Linked DNA regions of Arabidopsis thaliana. The protein of the gene in region 1 purifies or fractionates together with the protein of each later gene. This does not show direct contact. Each region holds a gene or a part of one and is shown in the gene's direction. Other genes may lie near its edges. The genes, in order: GAPB and PRK.

Region 1 (5,319 bases):
TAAAATTTTGAAGATACTTATTTAAAACCCATCAAACAATTTTTCTATATTTGTCATTGGACAAATAAGTTTTTCTAAATATTTTAGTTTCAAAAACAAACTAATATGATATTTAGACCCAAATCAGGTTTTCCAAGATATTTTACTCTTCAGAACGAATCGATCTTTAAACTATCTCCAATAGTTATCTCTATAATTTGTATAAGATAAAGTTATCTTAATGTTATTTCGGATATTTTAGTTTTCTTTAGACATATGCCGGATCGGATCATGTATAATAATGTCATTATCTCCATAACCGGATTAGATGACCAAATTGATCCATTTTCATTTCTCCCAATATTTATTACATTTTTTTTTTTTTGATGTAATATTTGTAATAAATATTTAAATAAATAATTACCACTGAATCGAAGAAGCTTTGCTTAGATATCATCGAACTTGCTCCAACTGCTCTATCTCAGGATCTCTCTCAGACACAGTTTCTTCCATCCATGGCGTCTCTTTCTTCTACCTCTCTCTCTCTCCCCAAGAATTCTCACCAACTCCATCCTTCATCTGGTAATAACTTCTTCAATCTCTCCAATCTTCGTGCTTTATAGATTTTCAATATCCTCCATTTTCGAGCTCATGAGATTCGTACAGTCATGTTACGATTTCTAATTTAGCATCTCACAAAACCCAATTTAATTGTGTATTGGACGATCTTGATTCCTTTATGTTGTTGGGTCCTTTCTTTTTACTTGTGCTGATTTGTCAAAACAATGCAAAATTAGAGCTTGAAGCTGTTTTGTTAGAAAACTGTTCAACTTGTTATGTATAAGTCACTGATTGTTGTTTGTTCTTGTTACCTTCTAGGTTTTTCTCTGAATCCAAATGCTCGTTGTGTCAGTGTTTCATTTGGACTGAATCACTCCAACAAACTTCATATTTCTGCTCCTAGAACCAAAAGGATCCTAACCATTCAATCTGCATACAGGTATATAACTTTATCTTATACAAATTATTGTTTGAGATGTCGAAAACTGTGGTTCTTGTTACTCCTTAATGTTTTGTGAGCATCGTAACATTTTTTAGTATACTTTAGTTTTCTATTGGCAACTTATGTTTACAGAGACAGTTTGCAATGTCTAATAGCATCAAAACTTGCAGAGATGATGATGGTTCAGGCAGCACAGGCCTATTCGTCGGAGGGTTTATTTTGGGCGGACTTATAGTCGGTGCCCTCGGATGTGTATATGCACCACAGGTAGTAATCTGTTACATGGTTTAGTTTGATCACTCTTAGAGCTTGTATTCGTTTCAATCAAGAAGTTCTTGAGTGGACTCGAGGAGCTCTGTAACCTTCTCTGTTTCACTTTGACTCATCAATGTGTGATGTTACTTTTGTGAATTGTATCAGATCAGCAAGGCTATAGCTGGAGCAGACCGAAAGGATCTCATGAGGAAGTTGCCTAAATTCATATATGACGAGGAAAAAGCTTTGGAGGTAAGTTATTGCTAAGCCTCTTGATTCATATTTTATCTCACTTTTTGTTGAATTTACTTATGAACAATGTTGTCTACTGTTAATGCAGAAAACACGTAAGGTACTAGCTGAGAAAATTGCTCAGCTTAACTCTGCTATCGACGATGTCTCCTCTCAGCTCAAATCAGAAGATACTCCGAATGGTGCAGCTCTAAGCACCGATGAAATCGAGGCTACAGCCTGAAATCATCTGTTTTTAGGATTTGAAATTGAATCATGGGAGATTACTTACTATGATCCCAATAATTGTTTTCCTTTCTGTGTAATGTTGTACAACTTTTCGTCTACTATCTTCAAATGACTGCTTTCTTCCTTCTTCTTTTTTTCTCGAAATCGCGGTGTTGAAGGATATATCACAGTTATATGCGAAACCAGACGTTATGAAGACTATATAATATCCTGATGAAAACTATATGACATGAAAAGAAGGATTAAAAAAATGAGTCTCTTGAGAAACTTGTGATCACTGGCTCACAGAATCTTATCCCCATATGTATCTTACCTACATAATAGCCACATATTACTTTGCTTCACTTTGAACCATTGGTTGGTTTTGATCAAAACCAAAGGATGTGTGTATGTATGTATATATTCTAACGCTCAAAACTGATCACTAGCATTCCTAGATTTTTCCTTCTTGTGATCACTTGCAGCTATGGCCACACATGCAGCTCTCGCCGTCTCAAGAATCCCGGTCACACAGCGACTGCAGTCTAAGAGTGCCATTCACTCTTTCCCTGCTCAATGCTCCTCCAAGGTATGAACTCCATCTGACTACTACATACCCTCTGTTTATGTGTGTGGTACAGTTTGTTTTATTGGTTTCTCTTGTTACTTACTTGCACAGAGGCTAGAAGTCGCTGAATTCTCCGGTCTGCGTATGAGTAGTATCGGTGGGGAAGCATCTTTCTTCGATGCTGTAGCTGCACAAATCATCCCTAAGGTAACTTATTTATTGATTGAATCAGTAACTGTATTGTTATCATGATTTGTGAATATGTGATGAGTTTGTGAAATATTAGGCTGTGACAACATCAACTCCTGTTAGAGGAGAGACAGTGGCGAAACTGAAAGTTGCGATTAACGGTTTTGGAAGGATTGGTAGGAACTTTCTTAGGTGTTGGCATGGTCGTAAAGACTCTCCTCTCGAAGTTGTTGTACTTAACGACAGTGGTGGTGTCAAGAATGTAAGTATGTAATAAACTTTGTGAACTCTTCTTGTGGAACACATTTTTGACATTTGATGAAATTTGCAGGCATCCCACTTGCTTAAGTATGACTCCATGCTTGGAACCTTCAAGGCTGAAGTGAAAATTGTGGACAATGAAACTATTAGTGTTGATGGTAAGCTCATCAAAGTTGTCTCCAACAGAGACCCTCTTAAGCTTCCATGGGCTGAGCTCGGCATTGACATTGTTATCGAGGTGAAATTTCTACCGAAAACTGCTTATTATGATGGCAAATCGCGCTACGGAACTTAGTTAATCGAAAACTGTATATGGTTATGATCATCAGGGAACAGGAGTGTTTGTTGATGGGCCAGGAGCAGGGAAGCATATCCAAGCCGGAGCCTCGAAAGTTATCATCACTGCACCAGCCAAAGGTGCTGATATCCCTACCTATGTTATGGGAGTCAATGAGCAAGACTATGGTCACGATGTCGCTAACATTATTAGGTCCGTTTAAAGTTAAACCTTTGATCTCATTAAAGCATGAACGAGTTTGAGTATTCATGCTTCAGTTTTGGTCTTTCTTTGCAGCAATGCATCTTGCACCACCAACTGTTTGGCACCTTTTGCTAAAGTCTTGGATGAAGAATTTGGTACATTTTATTTTCTCTGCTTCACTACATGTTTCAAAATGTTTTTTTTATAGCTCATACATGAACTGAATCACAGGAATTGTCAAGGGGACAATGACAACCACACACTCCTACACCGGAGACCAAGTAAGATTCCATCTTTTTGTCTATCTATCCATGTAGAAACCTAACGGAAGAGCTTGCTTGTATTGTCAAAAAAATAAATATGTTTGAAATGAATTGTTTCAGAGGCTTCTAGATGCATCACACAGGGACCTAAGGCGTGCAAGAGCCGCAGCACTGAACATAGTGCCTACCAGCACAGGAGCAGCCAAGGCGGTGTCATTAGTGTTGCCGCAGCTGAAGGGTAAACTTAACGGCATTGCACTCCGTGTGCCAACACCAAACGTCTCAGTGGTTGACCTTGTTATAAACGTTGAGAAGAAAGGTTTGACAGCAGAGGATGTGAACGAGGCCTTTAGAAAAGCCGCTAATGGACCGATGAAAGGCATTTTAGACGTTTGCGATGCGCCTCTTGTCTCTGTTGACTTCAGGTGCTCTGATGTCTCTACCACCATTGACTCGTCCCTCACTATGGTTATGGGTGATGATATGGTCAAGGTGGTTGCTTGGTATGATAACGAGTGGGGTTACAGGTGAGAGAGATATAACACATTACATGATATCATTTTATGTTTTAACCTATGATTGTTTGTTTATGTTTTGTGTTTGCGTTTGCGTGTTCGTGTTTTAGCCAAAGAGTGGTGGATTTGGCTCACCTAGTGGCTAGCAAGTGGCCGGGAGCGGAAGCTGTTGGAAGTGGAGATCCTTTGGAGGATTTCTGCAAGACAAACCCGGCTGATGAGGAATGCAAAGTCTATGACTGAACAACTTTGATCATTTCTTTCTTTATTTTTCACCAAAACAATACTTTGTATCATGAGTTACTTATTCGAAATCGTACTATGCATACTTGTTTTTCTCATAAGATTTTCTTGTCTGATGAACAACTATATGTTAAGACTGAGAGAATTGTATTTGAGAAATAACCATTTTATGCTACATGTTAAAACGGAATTTATTTGAGCAATGTATGACAAAAGAAATTGTTTGATTTGGTTTACAAATAAAGATGCATGAGTGTGCAACAAAATAATGAAACATTCAATCTAGAGAAAAGAGATTTGATATTTTCAACTTGATTTCTTTATTGTATGATGGTTGGAATTGATCTTTTTGAATTTCATAATACATATGTAATTTTTTTATATTAAAAATGAAAAATAAAGAAAGAATAAATTAAAATCAATGTAAGGTATTATACCATATAGTTTTTAAATATTAAAAATTTAGAACCAAACTCTTATGACGATTTCTCAATTGAATTTTTAACTTATGCAATAACAACAACAACAAAAAACAACAAAAAAAATGGTAGCAGGCTGATTTTTGAATTGAGTCTACAAAACTTTTAATGATGTAGGTGAAAAATGAGAAAATTGTACAAAATTTGTTAATTCAATCATTTTCATTGCAGCTCTTCAACCAACTCAGCCTTTTTTTCTCAAGCTTGTTTCTTTATTAGACTCGAGTTCCATCTTTTGTTCAGCTAGAAATAGCTTCTCTGGTTATTGAACCTATCAGAGCAAGGAATAGTCGTACACATTCTGGAAGTGAATCAATCAATCATTATAGTGGTGATTTTTTAATCAATGCTTTGGGCAAACTGTGCAAAAAAATAACAAATATAAAGAAAAAACTTTGGTGTATGCCGATATATTAAATAACAGATAAGTACTCCGTCTCTAACGAAGAAAAATATGTTCATACGATAGCGGCCTTGGCCAAACTAAATATAACTAGTATCCTAACTAATATGAGTTGTCTCCTATTAGAACTAAATTTATAGTTGTATTCTATTACTGTTTATACAGAGTATAATAACACTCTAATATTTAAAATAGTAAATCATATTATCCTAAATTTACGT
Region 2 (5,216 bases), 4.6 Mb from region 1:
TTGCAGGACTGACAGTGCTTTGAAGTTTGGTTGGTTTTTCTTCACCTACTTGGTGAGTTCATAAAACCTATTTATATCTTACCTTTAAGTAGATATACTTCCATTTTCCACATGATTGACCTGAGCTCCTTACAGATTCACATTGGCTTCTGCATCGTTGCTGCCATCGCCCCTCCAATCTTTTTCCATGGAAAATCATTAACGTAAGTCTTCCAATAATAGCCTACGTTTCTACTTGCGTTTGAGTGTACTCTTACTTCATATGTAGTTGGTTAGTCTGGTGAGGGCTTCAATTGGAAAGTTCTAAATTGTTCTGAAAGGTTTATTAATATTCAGTTGTTACAAAATAATGAGGATTATGACTACAAGTAGAAGTGAGAATCTAGCTGTGATTCACCTCTGTATGTTTTGTTGCCTTGAGATTAACTTAAAAACCCTTTCTCTTATTTCGATCAACAGGGGTGTGCTTGCAGCAATTGATGTCATCTCAGACAGTTTATTAGCTGGGGTATGAGCTATACACCTATTTTACATTTCATGACGACGCCTATAATATATTCAATGTGTCTAACCCTAATGAATGATGGCAGATCTTCTACTTTATCGGATTCGGTCTCTTCTGCTTGGAGTCACTGCTGAGTCTATGGGTTCTTCAGGTAAGCCTCTGATCATACTTTTCATGGCTTCTTCAAAACTGTTGACGTTGATGAAACCAGTAAACATTTGATTGATCTGGTTTCCCATTTTGGCTTTGCAGAAAATTTACCTCTACTTTAGGGGAAACAAGTGAAAAGGAGATAAAGAGGAAGATGATGGTAATTTTCCCTTACGATATAAGGTCTGAAATATGTGTATCTCCTATGAATGTAATTACCATTTTACCGTTTGATGCGTTGTGTTGATTGAGGTAAATTCTTTAGTTACTATAGTAGCAAGAGAGAGTGGTTGTTCGGCCATTTCTTTATGTTTTTTACTCTGTTCTTCTCTGGTCTGTAATATACCAATATCGTCTCTTAGCTTTTGGGATTTTTTTTCGGCGAAGTGGATGGACTATTTAGACAAAAAAAAATCATAGCTATGAATTATTAGTAGCGACTCTCTTCGGTCTGAATCTTAGAATCTGGTCCTTCTGATTATCATTGCGTATAACAAAGTATAGATGTTTCGATATGGCCGTGAACTTTATGAATTTTTTTTTTTGCAAACACCATGACTCGAGAGAGATAAAACTTCGTTAAATTCTTCTGTTGAGCAAAATAAGAACTTTTTTTCATTTGCAAACTCCATGAGTCAAAACTCAAAAGAGATTAAAGTAATTTTTTTGGAAAGATTTAATGTGAGTCCATAGTTTTTACTTTTTAACCTAACAAATTCTCTGACCCGTTATAGTTTCATGCTTGACATGGAAGTTGTATGGTGGTTGGTGGAGACTACGTTCAATGTGTCCAAGAATAAGCAACTAGTGCCGACTCTATCGCGGTCGATAAATAAACCATGGTTTTGTTTTTTTAATCCCGATGTAATCTCTTTTACTAATTACCCTACGGTGAAATTCATGAGTAATAAACTTCTGGTATCTGTTCACAAAAAAAAAAAAAAAAAAAAAACTCTTGGTGTCTTTATTAATTGGTAGGCTTGAAGCCCATTGTTAAGGTAACGCAAGAAGGCTTTGATCCCTATAGAAAAAAATAAAAGCATAAAAAGGTAAGTTGTTCAAAGACCATAAAGATTCGAAGCCAAGGGGGGATATACGGTGACGTGTAAATGTGACCCACATAATACTCTCTCCTTCATCTTCAGACCTTAAACACCTAATCCCCATCTGTCCAATTAGAATCTCCCACGTGTCAATTCAAATATCCAAATCCCAAAAAAATAAGCAAATAACCACCAAGCAACGTCTCCCTCCATGCCCTGTTAGTTTTATCACTTCATCGGCAACTCCACTCCTCTCCCAAACTCTATTCTCCAAATTATCTTTTAGCCAAAAAAATCAAACAAAATTACCATAAGTTTATTACTTCATGAAGTAAATAAGATATGATCTTTGGTTTTTTAATGGCTATAAATGTTTTCTTATCCTCTTATCTTATCAACAACATCTTAACATAGAGACTAATCAACATTACAAACAATTTTACTTCAAGAAACCAAAACATGAGCCAATCATCACACAACCACATTAAACCAAAACAAAACAAAATAAAACTCCTTTTCTTCTCTGCAAATTGCCATCTGTTTTTCCTATAGACCCATTGTCCTCCTCTCATTTCTCTCTTTCCCCATTTAATCTTATTTTCAAAAAAAAAAAAAATCACATCTCTATATCACCACACAAAAAACCATAAAATCAAAAATCGTTACCCACATTTCTTTCATTCTATCCTAAATCCTCATCACTCAACCTGAGCTCACAAAGCTAAACAAAAAAAAAAGAGCTTAGGCGGAGAAGAAGAGGAGACCAAAACACCAAACAAACAACAATGGCTGTCTCAACTATCTACTCAACACAAGCTCTCAATTCAACTCATTTCTTAACCTCTTCTTCCTCCTCCAAACAAGTCTTCCTCTACCGTCGTCAACCACAAACCAACCGTAGATTCAACACACTCATCACTTGCGCACAAGAAACCATCGTGATCGGACTAGCTGCTGACTCTGGCTGCGGCAAAAGTACCTTTATGCGGAGGCTCACCAGCGTCTTTGGTGGCGCTGCTAAGCCACCAAAAGGCGGGAACCCTGATTCCAACACACTCATCAGCGACACGACCACTGTGATCTGTCTTGATGATTACCATTCTTTGGATAGGTACGGTAGGAAAGAGCAGAAAGTCACCGCTTTGGACCCACGCGCCAATGACTTTGATCTCATGTATGAGCAAGTCAAAGCTCTTAAGAATGGTATAGCCGTCGAGAAACCGATTTATAACCATGTCACTGGACTTCTTGACCCTCCGGAGCTTATTCAGCCTCCTAAGATTCTTGTCATCGAAGGTCTTCACCCAATGTAAGCTACACATACTCTGTTATGATACTCTGTTTTGTATCTTAGACATACTCAAATTTTAGAGTTTGGAAGTCTCTTATCTTGTCGGAATTTCGATGATTAAGAATCTGGACTTAGATTTATACTAGAATCAGTATCAGAATAATTAAAGATGGATCTTTGAATCTATGCATGTAGTGTGTGACACCGATTAATTTTTATTCGAATAATTAAGTCTATAGTTTTGGTACTTGTAATGTTTTATAATAATATTTATCTACTTGTGAAGGTTTGATGAGCGAGTAAGAGACTTACTAGACTTCAGTATCTACTTGGACATTAGCAACGAAGTCAAATTCGCTTGGAAAATTCAGGTGAATTTCTTTGAATAATTCAACTACATTTACACCATTTTGTGGAACGTTTTCGGTTTATCTTATAAAACTGAATCTGTAACGTTTTTGATGGTCACAGAGGGACATGGCTGAAAGAGGTCACAGTTTGGAGAGCATCAAAGCGAGTATCGAAGCCCGAAAGCCCGACTTCGATGCATTCATCGGTAACACTCCTAATTTCTTGATGTAACCCCGTGTCATATTCGGCTTGATCAGTTTATAATATTTTCAATGGCTTATACAGACCCGCAAAAGCAGTACGCGGATGCGGTCATAGAAGTGCTTCCTACGACTCTGATCCCAGATGACAACGAAGGGAAAGTGTTGAGAGTGAGATTGATAATGAAGGAAGGTGTTAAGTACTTCAGCCCGGTTTACCTGTTCGATGAAGGTTCAACCATCTCGTGGATTCCTTGCGGCCGCAAACTCACTTGCTCGTACCCTGGCATCAAGTTCAACTACGAACCTGACTCCTACTTCGACCATGAGGTACATTCATATTGCATAATGACATATTGTGAGAAATGAATGAAAATGCATGTGTATGAGAATTTAGACTCATTGCATATATCTCCCTTTTTGTTTCTCTCAGGTATCAGTTTTGGAGATGGATGGACAATTTGATAGACTGGACGAGCTGATTTACGTGGAAAGTCACTTGAGCAACCTCTCGACCAAATTCTACGGAGAAGTCACTCAACAAATGCTCAAACATGCTGATTTCCCGGGTAGCAACAACGGTACTGGTCTTTTCCAAACCATTGTTGGATTGAAGATCAGAGATCTCTATGAGCAGCTCATTGCCAACAAAGCCACTGCTCGTGCAGAAGCTAAAGCCTAAAACAAACGAAGCGAAGCCAAATAGAACGCGTCGATAAATACATCCGCAGTTTCTTCTTTTTCTTATTTCTTTCTTTCTTTATGCGTTGTTTACCGCGGATTTTCATGGCGAAAAGGACGGTCTTGCTTGTTTGTAATTTGTGTGGAGATAAAAAGAAAAAGCCTGTAATGTAGAGAAGTGAATAGCAGAGCAATAACAGTTCAGTTTATAGAACGCCTTCAAAATTTGTTCTTTACAGCATCAAAGTAGATTCAAACCACAAATCAACTAAGCAAAAGAAAGAACAGTTTTATCCTATTGATCATACTCATGTTGAATACTTGAATGTCAAATAGCTTTTGGATTACAAATTACACAGTTCAAACTTCCTTATAGATTCCATATAAGAAAGCAAAGAAATTATACATACAAGTAACAATCCCATTTTCTTGCAATCACCAAGTACTACTTTGGGTACCAAAACATGCCTTTGATGCCTTCTGGATCAGCCTCAAACCCCAAGTTCTGATAGAAATCCACAACTACAAAAAAGGAACACAGATTCAACAACTAAGTAAGAACAAATCCAAATATTTTGACCACAAAAATTGCAGATTAAACAGTGATTCGATGTTTTACCTTGACTATCTGCAAACAGAGATATGTTACCAATATCTCTTTGAAGAAGAGCCCTTACAAGTTTTTCAACAAGAGCTTTACCTAGCCCTTGACCCTGAAACGTGAAAACAAACACAAACACCAATTAACATCAAACACAAAGCATTTATATTGGCAAGCAAAAACTAAATGCAAAAACCATATCATTTGTTTTGATTAACCTGATATTCAGGATCAACAAGAACATCCCAAATTGTAGCATTAAAGGCATGATCCGACGTCGCACGTGCCATACCAATAAGCTTCTTCTCCTGCTGCTTCTCCCCATCCCCGCCTTCTGTGTCAAATAACTTCTCCAAAATCCGCTAAGATGTTCATCAAAACATCCTCTTTGTAT

What was found.
Region 2: the proteins of GAPB (region 1) and PRK fractionate together in Arabidopsis thaliana (co-fractionation; one large-scale study listed by BioGRID). This does not show direct contact.

What each region holds. Positions count from the first base shown.
Region 1 is NC_003070.9:16,125,369-16,130,687, forward strand, and holds GAPB (glyceraldehyde-3-phosphate dehydrogenase B subunit), read left to right. Parts: upstream 1-1,984; 5' UTR 1,985-2,183; coding exon 2,184-2,285; intron 2,286-2,375; coding exon 2,376-2,471; intron 2,472-2,550; coding exon 2,551-2,715; intron 2,716-2,784; coding exon 2,785-2,952; intron 2,953-3,043; coding exon 3,044-3,204; intron 3,205-3,288; coding exon 3,289-3,350; intron 3,351-3,426; coding exon 3,427-3,476; intron 3,477-3,578; coding exon 3,579-3,985; intron 3,986-4,083; coding exon 4,084-4,216; 3' UTR 4,217-4,527; downstream 4,528-5,319. Other genes in the region: AT1G42960 (inner membrane localized protein), read left to right, coding at 495-561, 859-979, 1,153-1,249, 1,403-1,489, 1,578-1,712. UniProt on the Arabidopsis thaliana protein: Involved in the photosynthetic reductive pentose phosphate pathway (Calvin-Benson cycle). Catalyzes the reduction of 1,3-diphosphoglycerate by NADPH.
Region 2 is NC_003070.9:11,530,185-11,535,400, forward strand, and holds PRK (phosphoribulokinase), read left to right. Parts: upstream 1-2,014; 5' UTR 2,015-2,483; coding exon 2,484-3,007; intron 3,008-3,275; coding exon 3,276-3,360; intron 3,361-3,460; coding exon 3,461-3,545; intron 3,546-3,625; coding exon 3,626-3,870; intron 3,871-3,973; coding exon 3,974-4,222; 3' UTR 4,223-4,455; downstream 4,456-5,216. Other genes in the region: SCAMP5 (SCAMP family protein), read left to right, coding at 7-52, 136-203, 460-508, 591-656, 758-790; NSI (nuclear shuttle interacting), read right to left, coding at 4,667-4,743, 4,841-4,934, 5,041-5,156.